2 linked regions of the Oryzias latipes genome follow. The protein of the gene in region 2 interacts with the protein of the main gene of each other region in a biochemical or structural test. Links are inferred from orthologs where the notes say so. Each region holds a gene or a part of one and is shown on either strand. Other genes may lie near its edges.

What was found.
Region 1: the proteins of map3k5 (region 2) and txn form a complex in vitro, tested with the Homo sapiens proteins (3 studies listed by BioGRID). The link is inferred for Oryzias latipes from reciprocal best matches to the Homo sapiens genes MAP3K5 and TXN.

Annotation. Positions count from the first base shown.
Region 1 is NC_019876.2:18,249,555-18,256,174, forward strand, and holds txn (thioredoxin), read right to left. Parts: upstream 3,573-6,620; 5' UTR 3,376-3,572; coding exon 3,352-3,375; intron 2,154-3,351; coding exon 2,049-2,153; intron 1,379-2,048; coding exon 1,313-1,378; intron 1,111-1,312; coding exon 1,045-1,110; intron 494-1,044; coding exon 431-493; 3' UTR 130-430; downstream 1-129. UniProt on the Homo sapiens protein: Participates in various redox reactions through the reversible oxidation of its active center dithiol to a disulfide and catalyzes dithiol-disulfide exchange reactions.
Region 2 is NC_019882.2:18,743,866-18,749,906, forward strand, and holds part of map3k5 (mitogen-activated protein kinase kinase kinase 5), read right to left. Parts: intron 3,844-6,041; coding exon 3,791-3,843; intron 2,769-3,790; coding exon 2,673-2,768; intron 1-2,672. UniProt on the Homo sapiens protein: Serine/threonine kinase which acts as an essential component of the MAP kinase signal transduction pathway. Plays an important role in the cascades of cellular responses evoked by changes in the environment.

The sequences.
Region 1 (6,620 bases), on a different chromosome or scaffold from region 2:
CGCTGCTATATATACTTGTATGATGTGTAAAAAAAGATTGATGTGACCGTTCCAGTGTTTATGTGTAAACTATTGTCACATTTCTATTAAAGCATTAAATGCTATTAGAAGCTCTTTGTAGTCGGGCAGTTTAGGGTTTGATTCATTTATTAAATCCATACAGAGGTAACATGGATTACTCAAACTTCATAAATGGTTAGAGTAGAAAAAAAAAATAAAAAAATAAAACCTGGACTGAAGTAAATGCAGTACACAAACTGTTCAACTCAGGATAGATGACAAGTTAGTGCCAACATTGGGGAAAAAAACAAAACTTGATAGCAGTTAAACATGACGCTTAGCTGCAATTCTTTCTTTGGGTGTGTTATGAGGTGAAGACTTTATCAGTTATGCGTTTTATTTTCTGCTCTGGTCAGTCTGACTTCTACTCCTATCTCAGTGCTTTCAGCTTTTCCTCCAGGGTTGCAACGTTGGCACCAGAGAACTCATCCACCTGGAAAAATAAAAACATAAAAAAATGACAGAAGTTGAAAAGGTGAGATCTAATATTTGCAAACAAAAACTAGCCGTTTCTGCTACTGCAGGATGGACATTAGGGCTTCCAGGCTGGTTTAATTGTTTAAGTCAAGCTTACACAGGGCTTAAACAGGGATCACTTAAACCAGGGCACACATGGCTCTCTGGTTAAAGAAAGACAAAGAGGTTTTCCTTTTAAATAGCAAAAAAGACAAAGTAAACTTAAACTTCATTCAACTCATTCCACAACATTTGACAGACGGGACGCATCACAAGTCAAACTAAAACATTTTGGCAGATTTTTGGGCCCCATGTACCAAAGGAAATCAATTTGAGGGCAGTAAGTACACTCAATTTATAAATAGTATTTTACAAATACAAGGATTTTAAGATAACCTTATGGTTTGAAAAATACAGTAAGACTCTCTTAATGATCCCATGTGACACAGGGTCTCTTTTTTTAAAGGAAGTCATCAGAACCTCTGTAAAAAGTTATAAACTTTTCAACTACTGCACTCAGTTACTTACCTTTTTGCCCCCCTTGTAGAAGTGGAATGTAGGCATGCATTTAATTTCACAGAAACTGCTGATATCCTGAAAGAGAAAAAGCAACAGTTTTTTTTTATGAATCAAAATTAAAAAAAATAAAAATACAATTATTAAGTAATTATTGTTGCTGGCCCCCAATTGCAACCTAACGCTTTCATAAAGTAGAGAGACTAAAAACAAAAGCTGGTTTTGCCCATTAAAACAAAGCTAGTTTGTACTGGCCAAGGAGGAGAACGTGCACACTCACATCAGCCTCGTCCACATCCACCTTCAGGAAAACCACATTCTTGTTGTCATCGCTTTCCGACATTTGCTGCAAGACAACAAGTACATACAACAACAGTACATTAGACTCAACTCTACAGAAACAGAGCACTTTTACTGAAAAATCATACTGGGTGTGTGTTGGACCATTTCCTGTGAACAAGCACTTCCTCTCCTTGAAGTGGGGAGGTAAACCTTATAGGGTTGCCATAGTAACAATGCATCTACATTTAAACACCGTTTTCAATTGGTCCCCCTGTTTCTATTCGCTGGTTGGGACGGTTGACAGAGAGGGGTTGTAACTTCCGAGCTCTCCGACTAGCTTAAAGCCCATCAAACCCCCAACCTAACACTACAGGTGAAACAAAAATGGTGAGCAATATCGGAGCTATCAGGCATACAGTTTTGAGCCGGATGACAGCTCAGACGAGGAAAACAAAGACGTACATGGATCCATTTGTCTGCAAGTAGAGGCATCAGTATGGAGTGGAGCAGGGAGCTTGTGGCCTGCAGATTGTAGCTTCTACATTACAACTACAAGCTCTGTCAAAACTGTCCTTTCTTGCCTGTGACTGATTCACAATAAGAAAAAGAAGTACTCAGAAATGCATTTTTAAGCTTAAATTTCTTTATACATGTTCTCCTTTATCAGAAAATGGGCACAAAAACATGTTAAAAACATTTTCATCGGATCAAGTCTTTAAGCTCCAGTTATCTACCTTGTACAAGGGGGCAATCTGTTTGCAGGGCCCACACCATGATGCAGTAAAGTCCACAACCACCAGCTTGTCTCCAGCGTCTTCCAGAATTTTCTTGAATTCTGCCTACAAAAAAAGCATGTTTCCATCATTTATTTTAAATAAGCATAAAGGTAAAGAATTCGTTTAAATAAATTACTTCATTTTGTCAGCAGGCTTTCCCATAGTGTAACGATAAGTGGTTATCAAAGGTTTGGCTAATGATTAGCAGAACAGCCCCAGATCAAAAGCAGTCGCTGTATCTGAATTCCCACCCTAACCCCCAACTTCTAAAAAAAACTATAGAGTGCACCGACTTAAAAGCAATTTGGACACCATGCCCACTACTTTTTTTTTTAATTTACGGCGGATATGACGTCATCGATTTCACGAAGTTAAAATCTAATTGATAGGAGCATTTTGCGAGGATCATTTATCAGTCTTCTGAAGATAAAAACACTTGACAGGTTGTTCAGAAAGTACATTTAAATACATTTTTAAGCAAAAATAGATTTGATGCCATGCATTGTGATCTATATTCACAGATCTAGTGAGCATTGATGCACACTGTTTTTTTGCGGAGATTTCTGGGAAATTTGCAGGGCACTCGATTTTGGAATTGTAGAATCGGACAGCACTACAAAATGGCGAACGCACAGTGCACTTTGTAGTGATTAGTGAAGGAATTCGGACGCAACCAGTGACACCCAGAAGTCTGAATGATTTCAGCAGTTTTGACATCCAGGCATGTGTACACACGGACAGAGGCGGCCCGAGGCCTAGCGGAATGGTCCAAGTGTCGCAAATAGGAGTTGACTTTTACTCAAACTAGTACTTTATTGTAGCTTTCTGCTCATCTGAGCCATGATAGGAACGTTTTTTTGGTGTATTACTAAAAGATTTTTTATCTAGTTAACGGTAAAACCTTTCCGAAAACTTGTAACCCTGGCAACGTGTTCGCGCGGCAACAAGATAGCAAAGTCCGCCCTCGTGCATCATGGGTAGAAAATGGAAAAAAAGAAAAAACAACTAAACATTAGCAATACAGCCTCCAGAGTTATTCTGTCGGAGTAATTTATTCCATCAACGACAATAAACATGCTAACTCTAAGCGAATAAATGCTTTAACAGGGTTTTTTTTTCTTGCAAAAAAGGTAAGTAGATAGAAGCTTGCTGAGAAAATAACCGCGCGGCTACCTAACGTCAACTGTGCTGTCCTGAATGTATGTAGTAGTACAGCGAAATAAATAAAGACATGATTAATTGTATTTATAGAACTACTTACAAGATCAGCCACTTCACGGACCATGTTTGCTGTTTTGAAAAGGCAAACTCTCGCTGAATCTAAAAGACAGCGGCTTCGCAAAGACCACACTTTCAGTCAAAGAGGATGACCTGCCCTATTTATAACGGCGTCAGACTAACACGTCGCAGCGGAAGAGCTGATGGGTTGACTAACAAAATAAAAGCCAGTCTTTTATGTTTAAGCGAATCATTTATATTAAAAGAACGCCGTGTGTATACGTCATTGCCACTATGATTGTGCATGAAATGTGTTGTAACCGTACTTGATTTCATGTTGTATCAGCAGTTGTGTTATTACTGGTAAAGCTTCACGAAAAATACTTTTATTTTGAAAGTTATAAACAGAATGGTTTCCTTTCCTGGATTCTTGCAAATATTTTAGCTCTTTACTGAGAATAAAAACTACAGAATCGGTGATGTCAGGCTATATATATCTGAGGCCCGTTAGTGCTTCGTTGTTGTTTCGTTGCGGCTTAAAATAACTTGCAAAACTAATCTACTAACAATAACGCGTCCTTTTAGAGAATTATATCGATAGTAAGTTGAAATACTTTTTTTGTTTTTAATTCCGTCAACGCTTGATCAGACAGTCGAATCACAATGACTTGGCAAATTTCTGTACTACCGTAAACATGGTCACTGCAGACCATATTTCCTTGTACAAACTCTGGTCAACGCCCATGAGGCCACACCCCTGCACTAGTCTTATTACGTAATAGCTTAAAAAGACTTTATTTGTTTATTCTTTTACAACTAAAGTAAGGGGTAAACAATAAACAGAAAAGTCCATACTATAACAAAAAATTGCAATATTTAGACAAATTATTGCAGTTTGATCATGGTTGGAATAAGTTTAGGGAAGTGATTTAATCAGAAGATTAATTCTAAAAGATGGTACACAAAGACTTGTTTTTCCATTTACATATTTGAATAAAGAATTTGAGTATTTAGACTACATATGTGAATGTTCCAACAGGTTCTATCGTAAAAATAAGGAAACTTCATTTGAAGCCTAAGAATTGCCTAATTTAGACCTTAAAACATTTTTTAAAAGTATCTTTGCATAATTCCATTCTTTAAAATATGATGCAAGTTCAAATCAGTTAGGCAATGCATGCAATACCAGCATACATCAATAAAGACCAAAAACAACCTTTATTATAGAATAAACAACAATATCTGGTTACAGTTTTATCTATGTCGCTGTAAAACAAGCAAATGTCACTTTTGGATTTTTTTCCCCGTTCAGGTAGAAGCCGTGTCACAGCTGTAAGAAAACAATCTTTTTATTTACGTTTGTCCGGGAAAAAAAGAGAAAAATACTAAACAATTTAAATAAAACTACATTCTATTGAGAAATACAGACATATCTCACACATATGTATTTTAAAAATAAAATTAATTCACTAAACACTGAAAAGACAATACATATCTTGTAGTTATTTTTCAGTGCAGTATATGTAAAATCCTCCTTCATTAATTGTGTAAAGACCTTTATTGGTCATCCATCAGACAGCAACAACGGCTTTGCCAGTGTTGTCTCCTTTCAGCATCCCCTTAAAAGCAGCTGGCATGTTTTCAAAGCCTTTGGTGACGTGCTCCCGACATTGCAGTTTTCCCTGCAGAGGCGTCATGTGTGTATACAATTAATAGCAGTGACACAGAAATCTTTTCATTCCTGATTGATGCTCCACATTACCTGTTTGAACCACGCCATCAGCCTCTTGAGGCTTTCAGGATGCTTGTGTGTCCACCATCTTCAGTTGGTACAGCCCTAACAAAACACAAATACAATAGTCAGAAGAAGTACAGTCTCTGGCTCATCTGCAATGCAATAGGGCTCTCTAGTGGGATCGAAGGTTATTGCAAAATAAGTACACAGTTTATAACATTTCTGAAACAGGAAGAGTACATAAAATGCTGAATCAGAGTTTTTTTTTTTTTTTTTAAAGAACTTTATCGAACACAAACCAAAAACATCCCAAAATATGGTGGATACTAGTAGAAAGAATATAGCAATTGAAAAGGAAGCACAAACAAAATAAAATAGAGTACTTATCAATATGCATACATATACGTGCAAATACACAAGACACAAGAAAACAACAATTTCAGAGTTTAATAGTGACACCAAATGCTGGTTGGTACAACAATGACTAAATAAACCGTCTCAGATAGTATCGCTCAGAATATCATAAACTGTTATGCTTTTGGTAAATTGATTAATCTTAGGGGTTTTAAGTATAAATTGACTTCTGCATTAAAGAAGGTAATGTTGGGGTGACATTTCTGTAATTGTTTTTGTGTATAAAAAACTTGACTATTCATAAAATGGTATTGATACATAAATAAATACATTTTTGTGTAGTGATATGCCGAAAATTATGACTTCTTTTTAAAAAAAGGTTCACAATGAATGGGAATTTATTTTTCAACTATTTGTAAACATCTAACCAAAAAATGTGTACAATGCTACACAGGAAAAATATGTGGTCGGTGTCTTCAACAGCAGTTTGGCAGAAGGAACAGCTGTTGTCATCAATGTTGAAACGTAATCTAAGTAATTCTTTGGAGGGATGAATATTATTCATAATTTTGAAGTGTGTTTCTTTAACTTTTGGGAGAATAGGAAGTTTCATGAATTTGGTTCTGAATTTAGAAACAACATTTTGTTCACATTTCTGTAATATATTATTTTTGTTCTATCGTCCAGGAAATAATCTTTCAATTAACCAATTTCTGATAAAAGAGTTATTACATTTTTTTCCATAAGAGGGCATGCTTCAGTTGATAATGTGGCTAATTGTGGTTTTATCATTACATGTGTCATTGTGTTCCTTGTTAGAAATACTAATTCTCGAGAAAGAGCATTACGTACTTTTAAGAATCCTGAGATAGGAGGATTGAAGTTATGTCTTAAACACAATTGCTCATAATCTAAAAAATTGCCCTTCGTGTATATCAGATCAGTCACCGACCAAACACTTTGCCCAAACCATTCAGCACAAAACAAGGACTTGTTTCTATGGAGCATGTATTCATTGTTCCAAATAGTACTTAAGTTTGGTGATGCACATACAATATTTTCCAGTATAGCAGAATTTGTTCATGGAATTCTGATAATGCTATAGGGAGCTTATTAACATCAAAATCACTAATAAGCACACACTTTAAGCTGCCTGATTTGTTAAATAAATAATTTGGGACAAAAAACCAGAAGGATTGGTTGTGTTTGATCCACGATTTTAT
Region 2 (6,041 bases):
ACCTCTTGCCCAGGTTGCAATTAAAATTAAAATAAATGAATATTTATAAATACATAAATACCAATACATAATTAAGAAATGTTGGCATGTTATTTTTGGCTAAAATAAATGAATAAATAATACAAATTGAACAGAAATAAAAATTTACAAAAATATATAAAAAAAACATATAAAAGTAGTAACCCTGATAGCATAATGATAACATTATGTTAAAAGAGATTTAAAAAACTTTGTTAATTAAAAAAAATAATCATATTTTAGAAGGTTTGATTAGCAAAAAAAAGTAAAAACGATTACAATACAAAATTGAAAAATATTACATATTATAGAAATTGATGTGCAAAAGAGTTTAATGTATACAAATATAATTTCATAATACCATTTAATACAAATATTCAGTAAGTAAAAGAATAAAGTATATATTGTTAAAAATCCTTCTAAAAGTATACAACAAAAAAAGAATACAAATCAGTGTAAATTTGTTTTATGCATTTCATACTTTTCAAGTTTTATCAAGTTTATCTAATAAAACAATACATTAGAAAATATATAAACATATATTACCATAAATAAAAATATAAAAAGCTAAGACAAGTAAACGTCCTTAAAAATTTACATTTAAAAAAATTAAATTTTCAGTTTATTGTCATTGAGAGTTGCCATGTAGCCTCTGATCCTATCCTGATAGGGCAACAGTGTGTTTACATGCACTCCTCCTCCACAATGCATTCATACAATGACATTTACTGTCTGTGCTGCTCACAAGCTGTGAAATAGCACTCATCATGCTGTCACACTTGACGCCTGCAGGTGTTCAACCACACTGTCATTGTGAACACAAACCAATCACAATGTCTGCAGGCAGACATGCAAATCAATCCTTTCTATTGCTGTTTGTCCCTTTTTTTTATTTTTTAGAACTGCAGCTTTCCTCCACTTGCTGTCCTTTAAACCTTTTTTTCCTGCAGAAGCAGAGATAAAGGGACCGTCGGTAACCGCAACAGCAGGCATGAGTCACTGGGCTCTCACACTCCAGATAATGACACTGGAAGCCTCAGATGTGAGAGTCACAAGTTGGAACACAGAGCTGCAAAGAGCAGCTGGCAGGGGACATGATGGGGTTGAAATGAAACAAGGTGTGCTGCCGATGGAAGAACGGGAAATTTCCCACCAGGGTTCAGAACTGACAAGAGGACTTCAAGTTCCTGCAGAAAGAGTTTTTTGCAGCGGCAGGATTTATGCAAAAATGTTAGAATCAGATCCAAAATTGAAAATGATATTTTCACTTTCTATTGGGTAAAATTTTTTTTTGTCAGTTATCTATTTTACAGGTTGTTCCTCTTAGAAGGATGAGTTTTGTCTGAAATGATTGTTATGTAAAGCCCCAGGAATGATCCCATTCCATCCACACATACAACTCCTGTTTGTGACAAAAGCTATGAAGGTAAAAATGTCTCTAAATGGATGAACTTGTAGATTTGATGTGAGAACTTGTAAAATAAAATGTGAAAACTTGTGCACCAAAAATCTGCATCTGTGTGTAAAAATCTTCTGTTGTGAACTGACAAATTCCCATTTGCATGTGTTCATTTAGAGTTGCAACGTCAAATCTGTGAGTACAACTGCTCAAATGTGCTTCTGCGTGAATCTGCTGGCGCAAAACATATTCCTTGCTGCAAAACTTGTGTCAAACTGATCTGTGGAACTAGGGGGGAGGGAGGGTTAGAGGAGGGGGCAGACAACCAATCAGAGTCCAGCACTTAGAGAGCTTGGTAAAGTTAGAATAACTCTTCTGATAAACTGATTTTTTTTCTTTAGAAAGTTCCCTCTCTGTGAATAAAAAAAGATTGAGATACTTTTACGTTACGTTCATGGGGTCACCACAGGTGGTTTGGCAGACAGTTTTTACGCCGGATGCCCTTCCTGACACAACCCTGTATTTTCAGGGCACAGAGAGACCCAGATAGAACCCAGGCTTCCTGCGTGACACCCAGCTGACTGAGCCATCCAGCCACTTTACTACTGGAAATGAGGAAATAAGATAATCAGATTGTAGTTTGTGCTGACCTGCTACAGGCGTCCTATGGGTACTTGCGTATCACCTGCATATCCTGTGTGTGCAGAATTGCGTGCGGTCAGTAAGAAGTCAGTTCTTGCACCTTGCTAATGAGTGTGGCGTAAGGACACTGTACGCCAGCATCATTCGTACGGCATAAAGTGCGTGCAACTCCCACATATTTACGATACATCTACCACACGCACGACAATGGAACGTTTTCTACAACCCTCCATGGGCCTGGAATCCAGAAACCTGCAGCACCTATACAGGTGACTAAGGCTTTAAGCAACAACAGACCTGATAATCCTTTGAATTTCAATGTGAATCACCATCAGAGGAAAAAAATGACAAAAAATTGAGAATCTTTGTCGTTTTAAATGTTTTTAAGCTAAACTGCATTATAAAATAGTAGTTGAAGCTACATTTGACAATCTCAGGTATGGCGCCATGATCAACGCACCGATCTTTAGATCAGTGAGTGATGTATCTTAAAGTGTTTGTTTTAAAGCTACAGGGGACCACTGCAGTGCAGCAGGAGACTCGCTTAGCAATGACTGATGAAATGAACTACCTGTGATTAAACCGAAACGGGAGCCATGATAGGCGGACCGACCTTTTGCAGTGAATCTCTGTGCAGAAATAGATCTGGAAGTCCTCTGCATTGTGGAGCACATAGAGGAAGGCGCTGCGCTCGTCAAACTTGGAGATGCTGAGAAGAGACAGTCAAGAGTTATTCATGTTCTCTCTATATGAGGAATGATTTTATATTTTATTAAATCTAGGCTTCGCCAAAAGATATATGCTCAGCAAACAACTGGTGAGATGAAGTGTTTGTCCAGAGAGATGATGCTTTGTCCATCTTAGAATTTGCTGAGCCAGACATTGAAGTTTGTGTCACAGTGTGCTCTGGTTGGCATTGCAGCTCAGAGAGCTGCTATTGTGTCCTGCTGACTGTCTGCAGGCTGAGTGGGCTCAGGGAATGAGCCGTTCCTTAGCAACATGCAAGCACAACCCGTCCGATCCGATACTGAATTCCTTTGAGGGGCGTGCAGGGGAAAAAAAATATGGGAAGAAAATTCTTCCGTGGTGGTCTTTCATTTAGTCCAGTTAAGAGAGGCGACGGAAAACGACCTCCATGCTTTAAATTGTCCTTAATATCGGCCAACAAAACAAGCTGTTCCTGCTGTAAATGTTGGGATAAAGTCTGGAGAGTTGCTTGAAACAAGTCAAGACGAGAAAGAAAGCAACAGAATCAAGCTCTTGGAGTTAAATATAGGAGATAAGAAGTGTTTCTAAAACAGGAGCATTGGATTACAATCCCACTTCATGTTCCTGCCTGTTTATCTCCATCTTTCTCTTTAATGAGGAAGCTGGCATGAAGATAGCAGTTGGCAAAAATGTCAACCCACATGTAAAAGAAGGAGCTGAGGCTGATGTTTAGTACCTCAAATGACTCTTTTTGCCTTCCCCTTAAAGCTGCAGCAATGACCAGGAGTTTAACTGATGAGTAAAGTAGCGGTCACTTTGGGATGGTTTTTCCTTCCCACTTTCCTTTTCTATTGTTCTTTTTAATTAACATTTTAATTGAACATTTGGTGTAAATGTTTAGAATGAAGAAGAAGTGAGACACCCCACTTGTCTCAAGTTTTATGCATTTTGCTAACACACAAGCTCCAGGAGAGCCAACAGGAAATGGAACCGACAACCAGTCTAATGGGGTTTGGACCTGACCTGACACCCCGCACAGACTTGGCGTTGAAGTTCCACTCGTGGATCCCCTTGTTCTGTAGGACAGATAAAAAAAAAAAAACACGTTTACATTTTTTGTAATATCCATTCAAAGTTACAGTTTTTAACAGACTCAACTGGATGGTATTTTTAATCTAAATGAAGTAAACATCTGCCATCAGAGTATCAACAGTTTGTCCAGCTCCAGTTCTTGTTGGATATTCTCTCCTTTTTTCACTTAATTTAAGTGAAAACTTACCATGTGACAGTAAACCTGAGCTTGTTGGGTTTTAGAAGGACTTTAAAAGACAATTCTCAAAGAAAAGAATGAACAAAGGGAAACCTTTAAAAAACATAAAACCTAAGACCAGCACACACCAGAAATGCTCACACGTCTCTTTCTTCAACTTCAAGTCAACTCCAAAGTCTTCGTATTTATTTTCAAGTCAAATTTGAAAACTTTGGTGATGAAATCAACTTAAGTCTTGAGTCTTTGGTGATAAGTTCCAGTCAAGTCTCAAGTCTTTATCTGGTACTTCAAGTCAAGTCTCAATTTATTAGCTTTAACTATTAGTCAAGTCCAGCATCTTTAGCCGTATTTTCAAGTCAAGTCCCAAGTCTTGAGATGAAACTGTAAGTCAAGTCTCTGTATGTGAGACTTAATTCTGACTCAATTCCAAGTCCCAAGTCCCTGTCTCTCGGACTCACCACTGGCATGTAGGCCTGCACAATATATCGTAAATTTATCGTCATCGCGACATCAAGCTGTGAAATATGCATATCGTGAAAGACGGAGAAAATTGCAATAAATGGTTTCCTTAATGAGCTAAAACAATCTTATGAAGTATTTAACAAATCAAATAAATCCATTTATCCATTTGACCAATCAGAGGGACACCTTCCAGTTACCCAATCAGATGGAGCTCTTTTATCTTGGATGTTCATCTGTGTCAAGGAGGGTCACTTGGGGTATACTTTTTAAACTGTTGGAATGAAATGGGAATGCTTTTTTGGGTTGTTTTGCTATTTGTTATCACAATATTGATCACAAATATCACATATCGCAGGTCTTCCTCATATCGTGCAGCCCTACTGGCATGTGATGATGTACATCTAAGAATGCATTTCCTTATTTTAACAGTAGAGTCGTTTTTTCTCTGTCTTTCTATATTAAAAAAGCTTTTGGACCACATATCAACTCTTTGTTTGAAGAGAGGGCTTGTGAACCAATGAAACACTTTTTGAACCGTGAGGATAGTTTTGGGTTTGTTTCCTCACCAGCCAGCTGGTGCTGCTGTCAGTGACTGGAGGTAGAGGAGAGGGAATTTATGTACACTATTGCTGTTAAAATATTTGTATCACATGGCTCCACAGTTGTGCATCTCAGTCTGAGTTACAGGCGACTGATGGTGAGCATCAAACGCCAGCGCAGTTTGCGCTATACTTAATGTGAGCAGACCCTGAACCACAGCTGCACTGATTACTGAGGTGGTCTAGACGTTCAGGGGATAAACCTGTGTTTTGTGGTTCCACAGAGAGCGTCTCTTTAGCCGAATGTAGAGCAGTTTGACCTACTTTTAGGGTTTCACAATAACCACTAAACTTGAGGTGTATTGTGCACGCACAAACATGAACCACAACCAAAAACTGTCATGGATAATCCATTTCAATTCACCATTCAACTTCATTCAAAACTCAATTAAAAATCAAATGATTTTTTTTGTGACAAATTTGCATTCTAAACCATTATAGAAAAAAACATTTTACAATACTCACAAGAAACTGGACAAAGGCAGAACTTTTTTCAACAAAAGTATTCATTCCTACATAAAAAACGGACTATAAGTTGTTTTTTGCTTAACAAAAAAAGCAAAAAGTTATTTTGAGAACACATGTAATTAATCATTTGGATAATTTTTTTTACATTTTGTGTAAAAGATCAGTCAACTTTTTAATGCTCCGTCAGAATTTTGGGGGAAGCACTGCAGGAAAGGAGTTTTATGTACAAAGGAGACAGAAATAAACCCGCTTGTAGTATCATGTGATCATCATTTGTGTACCTTCACTAGTCCAGACATTTCTTAAACTTTCATCATTCACACATTGTTGCATTCATACAATGAACCTTTTTCCATTTTTTCTTTATCATAAAGAGCCCTTTACATTAGTTAAAGTCTATTTTTCCATAAAGCCAACGGACGAAACGTGTCAGTGTGAATCCTAAGACCTTTACAGAAAGGTTTTCCACACAAAA